Alligator mississippiensis: one gene and its partner. The protein of the gene in region 1 interacts with the protein of each later gene in a pairwise test. Links are inferred from orthologs where the notes say so. Each region holds a gene or a part of one and is shown on either strand. Other genes may lie near its edges. The genes, in order: WDR4 and RABGGTB.

Evidence for each region.
Region 2: the proteins of WDR4 (region 1) and RABGGTB interact in binary tests that used the Homo sapiens proteins (3 or more experiments, as listed by UniProt). The two-hybrid records come from large-scale screens. The link is inferred for Alligator mississippiensis from reciprocal best matches to the Homo sapiens genes WDR4 and RABGGTB.

What each region holds. Positions count from the first base shown.
Region 1 is NC_081824.1:299,763,355-299,773,442, forward strand, and holds the start of WDR4 (tRNA (guanine-N(7)-)-methyltransferase non-catalytic subunit WDR4), read right to left. Parts: upstream 4,531-10,088; coding exon 4,400-4,530; intron 1,360-4,399; coding exon 1,297-1,359; intron 107-1,296; coding exon 1-106. UniProt on the Homo sapiens protein: Non-catalytic component of the METTL1-WDR4 methyltransferase complex required for the formation of N(7)-methylguanine in a subset of RNA species, such as tRNAs, mRNAs and microRNAs (miRNAs).
Region 2 is NC_081828.1:22,510,670-22,520,253, forward strand, and holds the start of RABGGTB (geranylgeranyl transferase type-2 subunit beta), read left to right. Parts: upstream 1-5,360; 5' UTR 5,361-5,438; coding exon 5,439-5,441; intron 5,442-6,530; coding exon 6,531-6,638; intron 6,639-6,654; exon of another isoform or gene 6,655-6,898; intron 6,899-8,615; coding exon 8,616-8,813; intron 8,814-9,584. UniProt on the Homo sapiens protein: Catalyzes the transfer of a geranylgeranyl moiety from geranylgeranyl diphosphate to both cysteines of Rab proteins with the C-terminal sequence -XXCC, -XCXC and -CCXX, such as RAB1A, RAB3A, RAB5A and RAB7A.

The DNA of each region.
Region 1 (10,088 bases):
AATGAGATGCTTGTTGTCATCTGTCAAAGCAAAATAATTTCCTGATGAAGAGAAGGCAAAAGCTAGGATGTCATTGCTTGCTTTATCTGTTGGCTGTCCAGCCTGTCTGAAATAAAAAAAAAAAAAGGGGGAAAACTAAGTTTGTTCCCAAGCTGACAACTTTGATGGTTTAAGTAAACATGCTCAATCCACTTCCATGGCTACAGTCTTGGTCATATTTTCATTTTAGTAAAGTTTTTCTCTAGTTATTGTGGCCAAGACCAAAACCAAAAAGAAACAAAATTGACAGGGGCCCATTCCAACATGGTGTTGGTGGCCACGTTAGCTGATTGTGATCTATAAACAGCAGAACTGACAAGAGGTAAAGCAGTTACCCATGCTCAAAGTAAAACATGACTAAAGTATTTTTCCATTCTAATAATTATACAAGTTAAAACAAAAATACCCACACAACACAGTAGTGTTGATTGTTGTGGCTGCATTCTTTTCAGGCAATTTACCACAAAAAAAAAGTTTAAATGCATAATAAATAACAAAATAGAGGATCTGTCTGGAAATTAAGTAAATCATGTCTTGCCTACAAGCATTCCCAATTATGTCTTGTTTATCACTCAATTATTGAAAAAGGTCATAGGATCATAGGAAAGTAAGGATGGAAGGGACCTCATGAGGTCATCTAACCATGTTATCCCTCTGCTCAAGGCTAGATAATCCTGTACTAAGACATCCCAGCCAAGTGTCTCTTTAACTTGCTCTTGAAAAATATCCAGACAGAGAGTCCAGAACTTCTCTACGTAGCCTGTTCCAATGCTTGACTCCCCTCATAGTTAAAAAGTTCTTCCTAACCCTCAACCTAAATTTCCTTTGCTGCAGTTTTATGCCATTACTCCTAGCCTTTTCTCTGTGGCTGCAGGGCACAAGACTATCTCCCGTAAAGGTATTCAGAGACTGTTATCAAATCCCCTTTCAGCCTTCTCTTCTCCAGACAATAATCCTAGTTCTCTCACCCTTTCTTCATAAATCATATTTCCCAGGCCTCTAATCATTTATGTTGCTCTCTGCTTTACACATCTGTCCACATCTTTCTTGAAGCGTGGGGCCCAAAACTGAACACAATACTCTAGGTGAGGCCTCACCAATGCCGAATAGAGCAGAAGAATCGCTTCCCTTGATTTGCAAGAGACATTTCTATTAATACAACCCAGCAGGTTGTTGGCTTTTTTTTTTTTTTTTTGCAACGAGGGCAGTGTTACAGCCTCTGGATAGGCAGCAAAAAGTTTAAATGAATTCACTCACCCTTTTTCTTGTGTCCTCTTGTTTGCAGTGACACAGTCATACACAAAGAGATCGCCATCATTACTGGAAAAATAAGGATAAAAAACCCAAATACTACCAGAATTCCCTCACACAGAATACCTTATTCATAATGCACCATTCTTACATACTTTTATGTTCCAATTGTAGTCTGCTCCGATGTTCCCCTACCACCACCACACCTCCAAACACCAACAAAACTGTTCAGGTTATTGATATTTAGCATCTTCCATCCCATATACACACCAAATACAAGTTATCACTTACCAAGCATAAGTTATTAGTTGATGGCAAAACAATGTGATTTTTATTCTGTGAACAGCTGTTTTCATTTTTACTGGTCTCTCAAATGCACCAGTCATTTGCAGTTAATTTATCTTGGCATCTGCTATGTATGTCACTGATTGATCAGGTTGTCTGTGTATGAATGCTGTCAGGCATCAAGACTAGTAAGCTTAAAGTGGAATTTACTGTATACAAACAAGCTGTGTGCCAGTATTTAATGACGTACAAATTTGGTAATCTAGACTGTGCAGGCCGGGAGCGATCTGGGGCCCTTTTTTCAGGCCGCGGGCTGTGGCCAGCAGCCCGGACACGCTGGGTCAGAGAAAGCAGGCGACACGCTAGAATTAGGCACGGACGCTTAGTGGTTGATTCAAGATTGTTTACTTACACCGTAGATGGTCACGGTGTAGGCTGGACAGTTTCCCAGGTAAAACTCCACTTAAATCCCTACGTTAAGGACTTGGACAAAACTCTGACTCACACGAAGTTGTCAAGGCTCTGTGGAACTTTTTGCGTGCAGGGAAGAGGGATACGTTGAGGATTGCGCTCAGCGACGGGGAGAGGCTAGAGGCTGATCAGACCCCCGTTGCCTTCTTGATATTCACGCTGGGTCCAATAGGCTCCGCAGCGCTAAGAGATCTTCACAAGACGTGAAGTCTCCTCCTCCTGATGTTCGTGGAGTCCTCCAACTTGGGCGGAAACCACTCAAGCCTCTTATACGGCTAGCAAGCTCGCTAGCCGCCACGTAGGAATAATTTAGAAACAACCAATAGTGGGGGGTCGAATTTAAATACAAATGGCGGGAACTCCGTGCAACGTGCATTTCTATGCTGCAAAGAAGAAATGCACACTGCAAAGAAAGCTTCAAACAGCGGGAAAATAATTCAGCGGTGCCAAAGCACACACAAACAAAAATCACACCCTTGGGTTGTGACATAGACAAAATGAACAAATGACAAAATCACAGCCCTGTTTCAGTCGCCATTTCCTTAATTATGTCACACTATCTGTGTAACCCTTGGAAAACCTTTCTATTGAAGGATGGGGTGAGATGTACATAAGTAATTACATGATGGCTTTTTCATTGCTGGGTAAACTAACAAGTAAAGCTAATTTCCCAAAGTAACCATACTAGTTTTGGGCTTCTTGAAAGGAACACCATCCACTTTAGGGGAAAGGGAGATATTAACCAAAATTTCCCCTATTACACTAATTAATTGAAACATTAGAGATTTTTTCCTCCCAGTTTTAGCCCCTACTCCTGGGAAAGAATCTATGATCAATTACATCATCCTGAGTAGCCCTATTTAAGTCAATGAAATCAGCAAAACTATATGCGCAAACTTAGGAAAGGACATACAGGTCAGTCGCATCATACACGCATTTAACTTGGGCAAATTCAACTATATGCGGGGTGGGAGGGGGGTGGGGCTTGAGCTTGCACACGGCACTGTCGCTTACCTGGAGGCCCGTTATGGCAGTGATGGCCACTGCCTCCAAAACCTCCTGCTGTCGCCACGGAGCCATGCCCAGAGCTGTGTGGCCAGTTGCCAGGCGGCGGCAGCAACACGGTAGTGGCCGGGCAGCATGCAGCCATCCCCACCACCACCCCGCACTGCGCCGCTGCCGCCAGCCGCACAGCACTAAGCATGGCGCCTCTTGCACGCTCAAGCCCCGCCCTTCTCCCACCCCACGTAGTCACCGATTTTCGCTTTATGCGCTGACTTCAGCACCTAACCCCCGTGTAAGATGCGACTGACCTGTACACTAGTAGATCCCAGAGTGCACAAGGTGATATGAATCAGCGGGGAAACCAGCCATTTTTGGAAGGCATGCCACAAATTAGCCCTGGATTTTCCCTCAGTGCCATCCCCTTTCCCTGCTCAATCTGCCGCTCTGCTTTCTGCTCCCAGCCCTGCACATCCTGCCTGATTTGCTGCTTTGCTTTCTGCTGCACAGCCTGTCCCCTCTCTGATCTACCGCACACCACATCAAGGCTGCCTGTGCCACTTGTGTCACCGGTACCACAGGTTGGCCAGCCTTTATGTAGACAGTTAGTCTGTTACAGGACGATCTCTCATTGGAAACATTTTAAGTTCTCACATGCTGTAAATTTACAAACATCAGCACCAAATCCGGGGCTCCTACTTCATATGAAATTACTTGTTTTAAGTCAGGAGTGTCCAACATGCAGCCTGGAGGCTAGATCCAGCCTGTGGAGCCCTATGATCTGGCCAATGGGTCTCACACTGACCCCACATGCTGCATGCAGCACATGCAGCCAGACTCATGCATGAGCCACATGTGTCACCACAATTCCTGTGCACAGCACTGGGAGTGGGTCCAGGCTGCAGGCTACACGCAGTGCCCCATTTCATGCTCAGCCCTGGCTCTAGCACCCTCTTCAGCCACACACTTAAAAGGAAGGGGAACAGGGGTGCCATGCCTTCAGCACCACCACCTTCCTCTCCCAGTAGGGCAGGAGCTGGGCCCTGAACGACTGTGCACAGAGGGAACGAAATAGGTTGTGGAACTAAGGGCAGGGGGAGGGGGTTCCAGAACCAAGGGCGGGGGAAGGTTCTAGAACCGAGGGCGGGGGTTCTGGAACCAGGTGTGGGGAGAGCAGCAGCTGATGCCCCACAGTTCGCGTAGGGGGAGAGAGGAAGGGAGGGGCCAGCCTTGCACCCAATGCCAGGACCCGCCTGTGCCGCAGCGGCAAGAGCTCCCGCTAGCCTCCCTCCGCTACTCCCACAGCTCCCCCGCACAAGAAGCCTTGCGGCTGCATCCCCCCACTGCTGACCTGGCCCTGAGCTCCTGGTACCGGGCGGCCAGCACCTTGCTCCCTCCACTGACAGCCATCAGGCCCCCGCGCAGCCCCATTCCCGGGCCAGGGCCCCCCACCATCGCCGCTGCTGCCGCCGCTTCCTCCATGCGGACGCCCACCCACGTGCGCCCGGGAAGCAGCTGGAGGCTCCCCCAGCGTCGCGGGATTTAGACATCACCATGGGCGCTGACGCTCGAATGTGACGTAACTAGAGAGCGGCGAAGCGAGGGGGTCGGGGCTTCTGAGTTGCGCTCAGGAGGTTCGGTTAGCCGTAGTTCGGCGTGGGGCTGGAGTTGGGCCCTTGTTCTCACTGCTTTGTCCTAGTTCCTCATTCCCCTTCTCTGGCTCCTTTGTCCAAACCCTGGCTGCTATGTTAAAATCACTTCCCCGGTGTTTGATAGCCAGGGATCCTAGTTTTCTGTGATTAAAAAAATTCCAATTTTCAGATTTAAAAAAGTAACCCAAAATCCACATTCACATTTTTATGTGATTAAAATGCAACTCCACTTATATAGTAGTGTTTTGTTTTAACCACGGAAAAATGTACTATATATATATATATATAGTGGTGTTTCATTTTAATCATGGAAAAACTTGGATTTTTTTTTAAATCTGAAAATTGGGGATTTTTCTTTTTACCAGAGAAAACCAGGGTGCCTGGTGATATTATGCCAGAGTACATGTCTTTTTGCAGCCGCTGGTGATGCTGAATTGCATCTTGGTAAAGTTTATGTATTGGGGAGAGTCTAGTGGAGGGCAAGGAAAATGGTGAGCGGACTGGGCACATGACTTCTGAAGAGAGGCTGAGGGAACTGGGCTTATTTAGTCTGCAGAAGAGAGGACTGAGGGGGGATTTAATAGCCTTCATCTACCTGAAGTGGGGTTTAAAAGAGGATGGCGCTAAACTGTTCTCAGTGGTGGCAGATCACAGGACAAGGAGCAATGGTCTCAAGTTGCAGCAAGGGAGGTTTAAGTTAGATATTAGGAAAAACTGTCTAACAAAGAAGGTAGTAAAATACTGGAACAGGCTACCCAGAAAGGTTGTGCAATCTCCACCCTTGGTGGGTGCTTGGGTTGCCACACCATGTTAGCACCATGTTAGCTCTGCAAACATGATTTGCAAGATAAACGCAAGAGTTTTAAAATAGGAATCCAGAGCGTTAAAACCATTTGGCCCTGTTGGGGTCTTTCTGAGAAGAATTGCTCTAGTATTTTTCTGTAGTCAAAAAAGAAGGGAAAAGTAAGAGCTGTCACTTTCCGTGCCTCAAATCTAGAGAAGTTGAGACTAGCTGGTATACAGTTACAAAGGGTGAACACTTCAAAATAATTAAATCTCTTCTTTCTTTTCCAACTCAATACACACTTACTGTCTCATATGTTTAGTTGCAGCACTGATGCTGGGAACAGTAAACCTTAATTTGTAGATATTGCATATGACGGATGGTCATAATTGTAACCCCATAATATTAAACAGTCATTTTTACTCGCTCTGTATTACTCAATGCTTTAAAGATCTGATTCTTCCTTCACTTGTTTGTAAAATTCTTCAAATGATACAATTTTATTCTAAATCAGGTTTGTAGGGGGAAAAATAATAAATCATAATTATTATATAAATCTGTTTTAAACAGTTATCCGGAGTAGTGTGCAAAACAGCTTGGAAAAAATATAAATTTAAAGTTTTATAAATGTCTATTGAAACTATAGTTTTAAACAGGAAATCTTTGGTTATATTTGGTTATATTGGACAATAAATATAGCACAGATGCTGAAATGATATATGGCAATTGATAATTGACTGAGATTAGATTCAGGCTAGATATCAGGAGGCACCACTTCACTGTTAGGTCGGCTAGGAGCTGGAACCAACTTCCAAGGGAAGTGGTGCTTGCCCCTACCCTGGGGGTCTTCAAAAGGAGGCTAGACAGCCACCTAGCTGGGGTCATTTGACCCCAGCATTCTTTTCTGCCTATGGCAGGGGGTCAGACTAGATGATCTGCTTAGGGCCCTTCTGACCCTACCAACTATGAAACTATGAAAAGGTATAGTCAAGGAAGAAAACTCTTCCTGGATGAAATTTTAACAGAGTGGACAGGGCAGGAATTCATGGGAAGGTGTTCCCCACCTGTCCCCACCCTCACCTAGTGACAAGGGGAAGGTCAAGCAAGAGCAAGGTTCAAATCCCAAGGCAAAAAAAAAAATAAAAATCCGGACTCGGAACATGTATGACTGCGTTCTGTTTAACTGAATCCATGATTGATAATCTATTATGCAAGGTTTAAAGGAGGGGTTGGCAACCTATAGCCCACAAGGGCCCATATCTGGCCCACAGATTGAATCCTTCACATGGTGGACGGGGAGGAGAACAGCAGTAGCAAGGATACTTTCTCCATGCTGTGTCATACGTTTAGCTGTTAGGTGCCACTAGTTCTTTCTACAGCATCCAGCAGATGGCCACCCCAGCCCTCTTTGCTCTGTCATCCTGTTACTACAGTCTGTGCTTACCGGTGCCACCAAATTTACCTATCACCTCTGCCAAAGAAATATGACACTAAGTGGCTAGAGTAAGCAGAAGAAAGAGCAGCCCTCAGCACAGAGCAACTAGGGCTGCAGCAGTAGCTCAGTCATAAACAAGGGACAGCTATGGTTAATTGTTGCTGACCTCTGGTTTAAAGAACAATAAACCAAGAAGGCCAAGTGCCTGCAGAAACCTGCAGCTTGTGCCCATAGCTTGTGACACATCTTCCTTTTTTCAGTCTATGGTACAATATTAGAATTCAGTTGCCATTTAGTGAGATCTCTTTCATTTAAGGTCTGAAAAAATGTACAAAACCATCCATGAGTGCAATGATTTTTTTACAGTTTACTGACTTTTTGAGAGTTTGCTCTGATTAAAATTGGCCCAAAGACATATAAAACAAATTAAGTTCCTGTCACTGTTGCCAAGAAACAATATGCGAAGTAAGTGTTTTTTGTGATCTCTTTTATTGTACTAACTGTAGTTGGGAGAGATGTTGGACATATTTTTTAGGAACCAAGAGCCTTTCCTTAGTTTTAGACTGTGGATTTTCCTTTGTCAGCAGCAGATTTCAGTATCCTTCATCTTGTAGTAGAGTTGAATTGTTGTAGCCATGATGGTCCAGGAAATGTATGAGCCAGGAGTTTTTTGTGATATCTTTTACTGGAACTGAAGAATGGCAGTTTGTTCCTAAAAGTTTGTCCAACATCTCTTCCAATTATACAGTTGGTCTGATAAATTGCACCACAGAACCCCTTCGTTTCTCACATAGTTCCTGGGCCATCCAACCCTACACTCCAATCCTACTAGAAGTAGTATGCCATTCTTTAATTTAAAAAATGTAAAGCCCTTGACTGAAGCTTCCTCCCTATGTTTCTTTGTTGTCTGATAAGTCATTAAAAGGCATCAAGCTTACAAAAGAACGGTTTTGTATCCAATGAGAATGTTGCACAAAAAAGAGAGAAAGTGGCAAAGCAGAATAGCGTACTATGTTGCTAAACAGTAAATTCACCTATCTATTTCCTGATAGATATTTCCTACATATTTCCTCGGTAACTTACATATTTCTTGGGTAAGGTCAAAGTCCTTAAAGTCATTTTTTTGTAAATTGTCATTCATTTGAATTCTCTCTCTTGAGCGCTAAAGTGTATTTATTATATGCATAAACATGACAATAAAAACTGAAAACTGGGGTTACCCCTTTTTGCAGTCCCTGGTAAAAAGTTGGTCATTTTTATTAGGGAGAGGAGATCAGAAGCCTGGAATTAATTTTTTAAGCAGCTTTTTCACTGAAAGTTTTTTTTTCTGCAGAGCTCTGAAAAGAAAAAGATTTCCACCTGCAAAAACTGAATATAATTTTGACATCTTTATGGCAACATGAAAAGGATGTGGACACACATTTTAAAATGTTGTGTGATGTTCTTTTTGGACATAACCAGTTTAATACTAGCAGCTCACATAGCTATATTATTTTTTATATCATTATCATTTTTGGCTAGCAGCCAGAGCAGCTGATCCTGTTCTTTAGTTTTAACTAAGTTACACCCTATGCTTAGTATGACAGTTTTATTGTGTTCCAGCATTACATTTTGAACATTCTGTTCTCAAAATTTGAGGAGACTGTGGAGTAATTTGAAATATATTGCAAAATGATGTATGAGTGTAATTGCTATAATAGATAAAAGATAAAGGAGCAGTGCTAATTTTAAGAACATAATCCATTAAAATGTTTACTCTCTATTAAACGTAAATCTTAAAATGACTGTAAATTAAAGTTTAGAGGGAGGATAACAGAACTTTCATGTTGTATATTTGATAAGATATGATGTATACTCACTTTCACTGTTTTGTTAATGATATGCCCTTCCCAGTACCCCTCTCAGGATACCCAAAACGTACAGTGTCTTTGCACCAAGAGAAGAGGCAACGGTTAGAATAATGGGACTAGAGGACATCTAGTATTATAGCTCTTAGGCCCACCCAAATTATCCTTCTAATAAGCATGAAAAAGGAGTAATCAACTCTCTATAATTTATTTTATAAAGATTGGATTATGTATTTTTAATAGACTGTTACTTTCTGAATCAGTTAGAGTCTAAGATGCCATGCTTTCCTATCTCCTACATATATAAACATTGCACTTCTTAAAATTAATCAAATATTCAAATTGCCAGTTCCTTTAAAGGTCAATCAAGTCTTCCAAGCACTTTAGTTTCATGCAGATAAGTAATTTGATTGAAGTTAATGGTACTACATATGTGTACAGAGTTGGTCACATGTACAGGTGTTTGTCGAATCAGGGCTTGAGAACCATATTTTTTCAAGTCTATTCTAGTATGGGGTTGCATAATAATGTTCACAGGGCAAAGCTTTATTAAAGGTATTTTATTTTAAAGTGCACAATGAATTTGACAGTTATGTGTTCTATCAGTAAAAGTGTTTAAGAGCTGGCTAGTTAAAAACTTGCCTGGGATGAGTTAGACAAGGATGAACCTGCCATGATCAGGGGGTTGGGTTAGATGTGGCCTGAAGTCCCGTCTCACCCTATTTTTCTGATTATGAAATATACTATAATTCGAAGGTCTTCGAGCTGAATTTACTATGCTCCGATTCCTAGGCTTCTGTGACATAAATTTTTAAAGTATATTTAGAAAGTCACTGCAACAAGCAGCCTACTTAACTCTTTATGGATAAATTAAAAAGTGGGGCTAGTGGTATGAAGGCAGGATGCGAAGTCAGGAATCCTGAGAACTACTCCTAGCTCAGAAAGACATTGTTTATATGTCCTGGGATAACCTATTTAGGCAGCAATTCCAGTCTTCAAGATCAGGGGTCTGCTAGTGTTGAGTGCTTTGAGAAACTAATTAAGGTCTTGTAAGGCCTCAGTAGTGCAATTTTCCCATTTGCAACCTGTGGGCTAATGGGTTTTATTTGCTCATCCTGCACTGCCATGACTCATTGGTTTCAACTGTGCTGTGAAAATATAGTTCTGTGGGTGTTGCTGTTCTACTAGGCTTCAGGAAGCCCTGGGGGACCATTCTTCATGTTTCTGCCTACAAACTGATCCCTCCCAGCCCTTTTTTAACCCAACTGCTTTTCAGTTATGCCAGAGGCAAGGATCTCTTGGGGCCCTGCTCCACATTCAAA
Region 2 (9,584 bases), on another chromosome or scaffold:
TTTTGGGAACCTAGCTAAATTCAGGATTTAAATGAATGCTGGGCAGTATTCAAAAAGTGTTCCCACATCTTCCTTTCCTGAAATACTAGTTCAGTGTTTGCTTTTAAGTTGCTAGCTCTGACGGAATCATTTTTGTAGGGGGAGAGCGTTGTCTAAGCTTCTTTTTTAAGTAGTTAATTTCAAATACCAGGTGTATACTTTACTTGGTAGTAGTAGCAAACCTTTATCTCTTCTGTCAGTCTGAAATGTAACGGCTTGCTGAAGGGAAATGTGTAAAGCAAGCTTGTATGACAGCAAGACGATGACCACTGCCGAACTTACCAAGAAGCCTGTATCCATGCTTGAGAAAGAAACATGTACATTTGAAACACCTTTATTTTCATATGATGGTTCTGTGGAAGAAAGTGATCAAAACAAAACAAAACAGGAATTAGATAGGTTTTTTGTTTTGTGATATTGACTTCTGAAATATTAATTATACCATTTCACTTTTTACCTTGTACAATTGAGTCTTAGTTGTTTGGGCCACACTTAAGCAAAACTCTGACATATCTTATACATATCTCTTACTCCTGTTGATCCAAAATGAAGTGAAACATTTTACTTGGCTACCTAAAAAGAATAAGGGTTATTGCTTTCCTCTCTAAAGGAAAAAAAAAATCTCTGCTTTTGGAGTTTAGTGTATATGGCTTCAGCTTTTTGCCAGCAGTCATGTATCTAATTTGCAATATAATTCAAGATAATAAGAGTACTGGAAAGCCCCAAAATATTCTACAAAGTGAAGGTCACTTATCTATTTTGAACTCTCACTTTTTGCAGTTATATTGTAAAAAGATGTGCTACGCTGCCAATATACCACCTTGGCAAGGGGCTAGGAATGAGCCTTTTGTTAGCTCCGTAGTAGCTAGGGAGGAGGATATTCTCAGGGGACTATTCCTGCCAATTTGTAGGCTAGATTATACTAATGGCATACATCTCTACATTGTGGTGGTCAAGCTATTCCAAAACATTTTTTTCTGCTTTTCTATGCACTTGGCACCGATTCAAAGTGTTCTTAAGTTGTCACAGCTACAAAAATCAAAATTATCCAAAGGAAGAAACAGAATAAGGAAAAACACAGAGAACTACTACTATATTATTGCCAGTACCCCTATGTATGGTTTTATTAAAGAGAAGCTGGACAAGTTGCAAATTACCTACACAGATTGTGGAACACCCTCCTTGGGTGTTTTTAAGAGCAGTTTAGACTGGGCATGACAAACTCATCTGTACCCTCCCCCCAACCAGCCTTAACAGAAGCACTGTGTTCAGTTTTGAGCACCCCAGAGCTGAACTACATGGAGAATCCAGAAGAGAGCAAATAAAAATTACAGTAAAATCTTTGTTATCTGGCATTTAAGTAACCGGGAATTCTATTAACTGGAATTACTGGCCGGACATGAGTGGGCACAGGGGAAAGCTTGCACCTAGCAGTGCCTCTTGGGTCTGGGGGGGCACCCAGGGTCCCCCCACGGCTGATTGCTGAGCCGGGGGGGGACCTGGCAGACCTGGAAGTGGACTGGCAAGTACTTCTGGTCCACTTCCGGGTCTGCCGCTGAGCACACAGGGCCCCCTGCTGTGCTCCTGTGGGACACTCCATCCACCCCACCATCTTAGCTTTCGTGAGCCGTGCCTGGTACCTCAAACTATGTAGAAAAAACATTTAAAGCTGTGTCTATGGCCAAATTGCTGATTCTCCGAATTGGCATTGAATCTTCAGATTCAGATTCGACTGAATTAAATCGGGACAATGATCCAAATCAACAGATCGAATCACTGTCCCCCAATTTTCTTTCCTACCCTAAAGCAGGAGGCACCTGGAGCTGACATTTCTTTACTGTTGCTGCCAGGTCCAGTAAGGGAGTTGAAGCTGACTGGGTAGGAAGCTATCTCAGAGTAACCTTGCTCTGTTCCTTGGGGCAAGTGGCAGCACTGGAGACAAACTCGGGGCTCTCCTGATGAAGAATACTTGGATTTGAAAGCTTGTCTAACTATTCCAACCATGCAGATGGTCCAGTAAAAGATACCCCCAAAAATCTTTGCCTCTCACATAATTCCTGGACCACGGGCAAATCGTGCTGCCTTAGTCAGGGGTGAAGGGACCCGTGGGGGGAGGGGTTCCCCTGTGGCAGATCTCACTGCCCAGGGGGAGTTTCCCCATTGCAGCTCTCAGAAGCCACATCAGTTCTACGTACTCCCTATAACTCTTTTAAGTACCCCTAGGGGTATGTGTACCCTCGGTTGACAACCACTGCTTTAGAAGATTCATCAATCCAATTCACTTGGTTAACCATAACATGCCTGAAATTCAGTTAAACTTTTAACTTGTTGAGTCACACAGGCAATGGAAAAGGAAACAGAATGATTTCCACCAAAATGCTTTGAGATTGCTTCTTCTTCCCACTTCACAAAGCTGTGCATTCTTTTAGAGCTTGCTCTGTTGGGAAATCTGTGAGATTATTTAGTGCTTACTTGCCTTACAGTGACTTACATAATCTTGTTTCTTGTACATTCAGCATTTGCAGTCTGTCATTTCTTCCATCAGTCCAAACATAGAAATAGGTGTGGCAGAAACTGCTGAACGGGGCAATTTCCTTTGAGATGTTTAGTTCAGTGACAGATGTTTCTTGATCACATTCTCAGATGCCTATTTACTTAATTTCTTGGACAGATTCTTTTGAGGGTGATTCATTATTATGGCAAATCACCAACTGAAATGTAATATCCAAAGTCAAAAGTACTGATGGGTCTGTTTAATTTTTTTTGCCTTTTGTGCTTGATGTAATTCAAAGAGGAGAATCTATTCAATCTATAGTGCAGGTAACTGACTTCCTTGTGTGTTTTAATCTTGTTATTACAAATGATCTAGCTGGAGAAAGTCCATCATGCAAAGTTATTGAAGTGATGCAGATAGGGAAACACAACATTCATAATTCACATTTAGCAGACTTTCCTTTCTTGGCACAGCTCTACATGCTACTTTACATTTTATATAAAATTTTTCATCCTGACTGGTCCCTGAGTACTTTGCAAACTTATAATCACATATCTTTTTATCCTGTTTTGAGAGTGTGCCCACTTTTGGTGTATAACACACAGACAGCTTAATAGTACAGTTGCAATAATCAGCATTTTATTCTAGCAAAGGAAGAATGCCATTTCCTTCTGAGACTTCAAGAAAAATATTGCAAAAAAATATTGAAAAATCTTCTTTGCATCTTTTCTGGTCTAGAGTTCTGTGTTCTAATACAGACTTGCCAAACTGTGTACAGGCAGTCCTCGACTTAGAACTTTTCGAGTTACGTTTCGCACTTACAACATTTATAACTTGACACCCTGTTTCAACTTTATGATGTCAGTTTTGACTTTATAATGCTTGATCCGATGCGACACTACGCCAGCGAACAAGTTTGCTGCGTTGCTCATCTCCCTGGAAAACATCTGTCCAAACTTCCTTGGACACTTTAAGAAAACAGACAAGACTCCAAAAAAACCTGCAGCCAAGACTTCTGAGAAGACTTCAGCCAAGAACCCTTCAAAAAGTCCAACCAAGAGCCCTTCAAAAAGTCCAGCAAAGTCGCTTCAAAGAAGTCCTTGCAAATCAATGATTGCTATTTACAGTATAAATACATTAATGTAGCTATATTACTCATATAATTGATCGAGTACAAGATTCTGGGGTATTTTTGGTGAAAATAGGGTATCGGGCCTTGGTTCAGGAACCAATCCCACATTTATAACATTGTTTCTTATGAGAAAATTGGTTCTGAGTTGCAATGTTTTGACTTAAGACGTGGTTTTCAGGAACCAACTGCGTCCTAAGTCCAAGGACTGCGTTTTGACTTAGGACACAATTGGTTCCTGAAAACCGCATCTTAAGTCCAAGGACTGCCTGTAGTTTACTGTGTTGAGAGATTGCCCAACAGAGTGCACCAACACTGAGAAAACTAGAGCAGCAAATCTGCAGATTCTCATTTCTTTGCACATAACTGTTCAGCTCTTATTTGATTCACTTCCTCAGCTAGAAATTCTATAGAGCAGGGGTTGGCAATGTTTTTGGCCAGCGTCAAAAATTCCCCAACTTTTACCCATGCCTCAATTTGGTGTGCTGGAGGCAGACAGCAGGGGAGCTGCAAGGGGCTTTCTTTGCCATTTCTTTGCAAGCTTTCGGATACCTGCGCCCTTCTTCAGGCTGAGGAGAATTCAAAGATTGTAAAAGTTTTAGGTAGAAAAGAAATGTCATGTCTCCATGGTGCAGGGGTTTAGGTTGTAGCCGTGTTGGTCTAAGGATATAGGCAGAGGAACCCAAGGAACCTTGTCTGCCCATGTCTCCATGGTGGAATAGAAGCCAATATGGAAAATGTAGGTCTGTGGAAATGCAAATACATGACAGTGAGGATCTGAGGGAATGGGAGACAATAAATAGGTGGGGGGAAAGGAGGGGAATATTGTTGGTAAAATGTCGTAGAGGTTACCTAGGGTTATCGGACGGCAGGCGGATTATAATGCACCATAAGTCCAATGTCTATACTTGGTTCATAATTTTTTGTATCCGGTAGATTGAAGTGAAGTTTCTAGGCTCATGTGCAAAAAGTGTTTTGTAAATTCTGGAGTACTTTTAAAGTGAATTAAAGCACGCTAAACTCAGGTGGGATTATGACATATCATCAGGGTGATAGCAGCAGCCTGAACAGATGACAAGAGATGCCAAGGAAATACCAGCCTTTAAAAGAGCAAAGGCCCCGAGAGCACGGCCCCAGTGGGGCGGCAGCACAGGACCCTGAGCCATTCCTACAGCTGAGGAGGCAGGGTGTTGCCTGCGGGTCCCCTTGGCAGTTAGCCCCGGAGGGCCCTGCCACAGGTTCAAATGGAAGCAGGAAACCAGCCATAAGGCTGCACTTTTTTAAGCACTAACTTTGTCGCCGGTTTTCTTTTTTTATAACTGGACGGCCGTGTTGATCCCGCGACAATACCTCGCACTGTGCGGCCCGTCCAAACGTATTGCCTGATTAACCAAGTCATCGTATAACGGCTGTAACCGGGACTGAAGGGCCCGCTGCTCTCCCGGCTGCAGAACTGGCGCATCACGGCTGTGACGCGGCGCGGGCGGCCTCCTCCCACCGCGCAGGCGCAAAACAATAGGGCGCGAGCGCCCATGGGGCGGGGGGCAGAGTCATCTGGGCGCTGCTGTTTTGCGCAAGGCAGCTGGGGTCCTCGTGCGGCGCTCGGGGCAGGCAGCGCGCCAGCCACCTCTGCTCAGCAGCCGGACTCCGCCCCACCCGGCAGAACCCTGGCGCTGGTGCCGCTGTGCAGGCAGCGCCGCAGACACCTCTGGCGGGTCCTGCGCGGGGGCGGGCGGGGGCGCCGCCTCCTCCCCTGGGCCCACGGGCGCCGCCGACATGGTGGGTTGCTCTCGCCGCCCGCAGCGGGCGCGGCCTCGTCCCCTGGGCCGGGCTTGGCTCGCCGGGGCCGGGGCCTCCGCTTCCCGGGGCGAGGGGGCGCTTCCACGAGGGATCTGCCCCGGTGGCGGCGGGGAGCAGTAGTGCGGGCAGGCGTGGGGGGCGCGGTGGCCCTCGGGGAGCGCCTGGGGATTCATTTATGGCACGTCTGCCGGAGGGGTTCCCCCTCCCGCCTTGGGCCGAGTCCTTGTTCCTGTAACTGGAAGAGGCGGTGACGGGAGACGTGACCGCTTGGGCGGGGGAGGGGGGGTGTCTGGGGAGGGGGGCGGGGGAAGGAAGGGGACAAAACGAGAGGAGGTGCGGCCGTTGTGGCTGCTTCTGTTCTGTCTTGTTGAAAGCCACTATCAAAAACGTTAGGGCGGGGGTCAGCTACCCCCACCACGTGCCAGAGCAGGGGACGGAGGCCATTTTGGTCCGCACATCACAGCCACCTGGCGCTGGGCGGTGGCTGCCGGCCGCAGAGCAGAGCAGGGGCTGCTTGCAGCAGGTGGTTGGGAGGCTGCAAGGGTGGCTGGCAGCAGGTGCAGCTCTGGGTGGGTGGCAGGGGAGAGGCCAGGCTTGCATTGCTGCAGCCCCTTCTCCATCTTGTGCCCAGAGGCCCACATGCAGCCAGTGCTCCAGAGCCCAGGGCAGATGTTTGCAGTCTGCCACAACTGCCTAGAGCCCAGGCCGGCTGGGGCAGGCAGCCAGCCGTTCGCAGCGGGATCCAGGGGTCCAGCACCAGCTCCCTGCCAGGCGGTGGCTACACGTGCATCTCGTGCGCAGGGCAGGGCAGGGCAGTGCAACCCTGCCCTTCCCACACAGTCTACCCAAAGGCATGTGCAGCCACCGCCAGCAACAAGGATTGGGCCCTTCATGGCTCCCCTGTGATCTGCCCCTGGCATCCCAACCCTGGCCTATGCCTTGACTTGGTGTATTTTTAGCACTCTGGTCAAAAACATTGCTAACCCTTGTGTTAGATGGTAAAGACCTTACCCGCTTACCCGGTAACAATTCAGAATTTGATTTTTATTTTGCTTTTTTGTTTTTTAGGGGACACCACAAAAAGATGTTATAATAAAACCTGATGCCCTAAGCACACTGCTTCTGGAGAAACATGCAGACTATATAGCTTCCTATGGAACAAAAAAAGATGACTATGTATGTAGCAACTGTTATTTTTCCCATTCTCTTAGAAATGCTGCATGTTGCCCTTTCTTGAACGGACAGGGTGGGAGGCTTCTTGTGTTATGGTGCAAAAGAGAGAAGGATTTAGTTTTGCATAGTGGTAATGGTAGTTTTCCTAGGTCAGTGATGAGCCTTGGCATGTATTATCTGACTAAAGTTGAAGATTACTGCTTTAGCTCTAGAATTACTCTGAGACCTGGGAAATGTACTAATTTGCTTACTAGGCTAAATAGGTGAGTGGTGAAAAAAAACTTGATCTTAAATGTGTTTTATTCTATCTACTGTAGCAAATCTCTGTCCAAAACTTGCTGGCTTGCTAGATTTAATCTGAATTCGCTAGAAGATTTCAGTTCTAGTTTAAAATTGGTATTTCTGATCATAGCTGAAATTTATCTTATGCCAGATGCATACAGCAAAATAAGTAATATATAAACAACTATAAAACAAATGCCATATGAAAATCATGGGTACAGGTGACTTGAGAAGGATTATAATAATGGCTTCAGATAAATGCAAGATTTTTCTTTTACTGTTCCTACTTTGTGTTTCTTTAGTTTTGGCAGTTAGCAGCAATATCATTCATTGACTGCTGAGGGAGCATTTGTGGAGGTAATGTAAGCAAAGGACCTTTAGCCAAGAAAATTTTAGCTAGTGGTCTGGGCCAAGCTTGTTGCATAAGGATGGGTAGGTAACTTAACCTTGTGCCTTAGCCATTTGAGATGGAAAGTTTAGGGAAAGTTAGCTGTTGAATTCATGGCTATATTTAGTAGGAGTGTACCAATAGAGATTTTGGGGGCCAATACCAATAACCAATATTTATGAAGGTGTATTGGCTGATTCCAATCAGATTTCCAATACAGATGCCTCCAGCTGGTAAGCCTGGTGTGATGGAAGGGATATGGGGCAGGGAGCAGATCAATGCCCCTGGCTCTTGGGGGAAGGAGGGACGGCTCCCACCACTGCTTGCACCCTGGGAGGGCACAGGGACGTGTGCCCTGTAGATCTGTGTGGGGTGGGCTGCAGCCAGGGCTGTGCGGGGCTCTTCTCAGTGGGGGGCTGGGCTCAGAGTGAACGCTGGTGGCACTGGGAGGATGCTGCACGCACTCCATATTTCACTGCTGCTCTGTTCCCAGTGCTGCCAGCCACCCAGCACAGCCCTTGCTCAATGCCTTGCCTCCACCCACACGCCAGGAAGAGCTGAGGCAGTGCTGGGAGCGGAGCGTCAGCAGAATTTGAGGTGGATGCAGCATCCTCCCAGTGCTGCCAGCACCTCCTCCGAGCCCAGCCCCTGCCGAGAAGAGCTCCTCACAGCCCTGGCTGCAGCCTGCCCTGTGCAGATCCAGGGGTTCATGCCCCCCCACCCTGCCATCATGGCGTGCAAGCAGTGGTAGGAGCTGCCTTCTTCCCCCCCCATCAAGCTGCAGCCCTGGCTCATCTGGGCAGCACCTGCCCCTCCCTCACCACGGGGGGGGGGGGGGGGCGTGCCCACGCGCACGTGCGTGTCCAGCATCCCTTCCCTTCTCACCTTCCACTACACTGGACTTAACAGCTGGAGATAGCTCTCCACGTTACTAGCTTTGCTTCTTGCTTCCTGAGTGCTGTACTGTGGCTGTGTGCAGCACAGGCATTTATGGGGCCAATATCCATACAGCCATTTTTCTTTATATCAGTACCGATCCGATATCGGACCAATGTATTGGTGCACCTCTAATATTGAGTCAATCTTATGTATATAAGCTGTTTAGACTAAAAGGCAGTTTGCCTTGTTGATGGGATGGGGCATCTGCTTTTGTTAAGGTCTAGATATAGTGTTAGCTTGAACCTGCAGCCTCACAGAATTAAAGCATACTAAACACTTTATATTTGTAGCTGCAGTAACAAACATTACCTCAGTTTGTGGTTGTGTGTGTCTTTTGTCTATTTTAAGAACTAAAATGTTGTACTACTTAGGAGTACTGTATGTCGGAGTACTTGAGGATGAGTGGTGTCTACTGGGGACTGACAGTAATGGATCTCATGGGACACCTGCACCGAATGAGCAAAGAAGAAATTCTAGCTTTCATCAAATCATGCCAACATGAGTGTGGTGGAATAAGTGCCAGCATAGGTCATGATCCTCACCTTTTATATACCCTTAGTGCTGTCCAGGTAAATAAATATATAGAAATAAAAGCATTATTGGTGATAGTTAAATTAATCTGACTGTACAGGTACCAGCAAGGTGTATTATTTCTTTAGCACCTTGAAATGCTCTATTTCAGTACCTCTTGTTCACTAGAAAAAAAGTGTTTCTAATTTTTAATTATGGTAGTATTAGGGTGATACTGTGTCCTGATGAAGAATGCCTTGCTTTTCTTTGCGGGTTGGGGCCTCATGTGGTAATAATTTTTGTTCATATCATGCAGCAGTTTCAAGAAAATTTCAAATGACTGTCTGAATTGTCTGGATATCTTTTTGGGTGGGGAAATAAGCTGCTATTTATATAAGACAGAAATAGTTATAGTTTACGTCTTTTCCTTTATATGTCATGTCTGAATTGTAAGTTTTAATGAAAAGTTGCTATTTCAAAGTTTTAGTAGCCTAATAGGTACACATTTGAGGAGTAAAATAGTAATGTAATCTTTAAATTAACCTATTACAAATTTTTATCTTTTTGGTGTGAGGGCTCCACTCACAAAGGTTGACCAGGATGCATCTTGTCATTCTCAGCCAACATTTGCCTTAGTTTTTCCCCAGCCTGCCTTCCTACCCATAATCAGCTAACATCGCAGAGCCTTCTTTCAAGGTGAGGGTGAGGTCATGCCACAGCTGTAGCTGACAGGAAACGTTGAAAATGATACAGCAGAGATCCTCCCAGTTGCATTCACGGTCTCTCTTCCACAGATCAAAGTTTTTTACACCTGTACAGTCAGGCTGCAT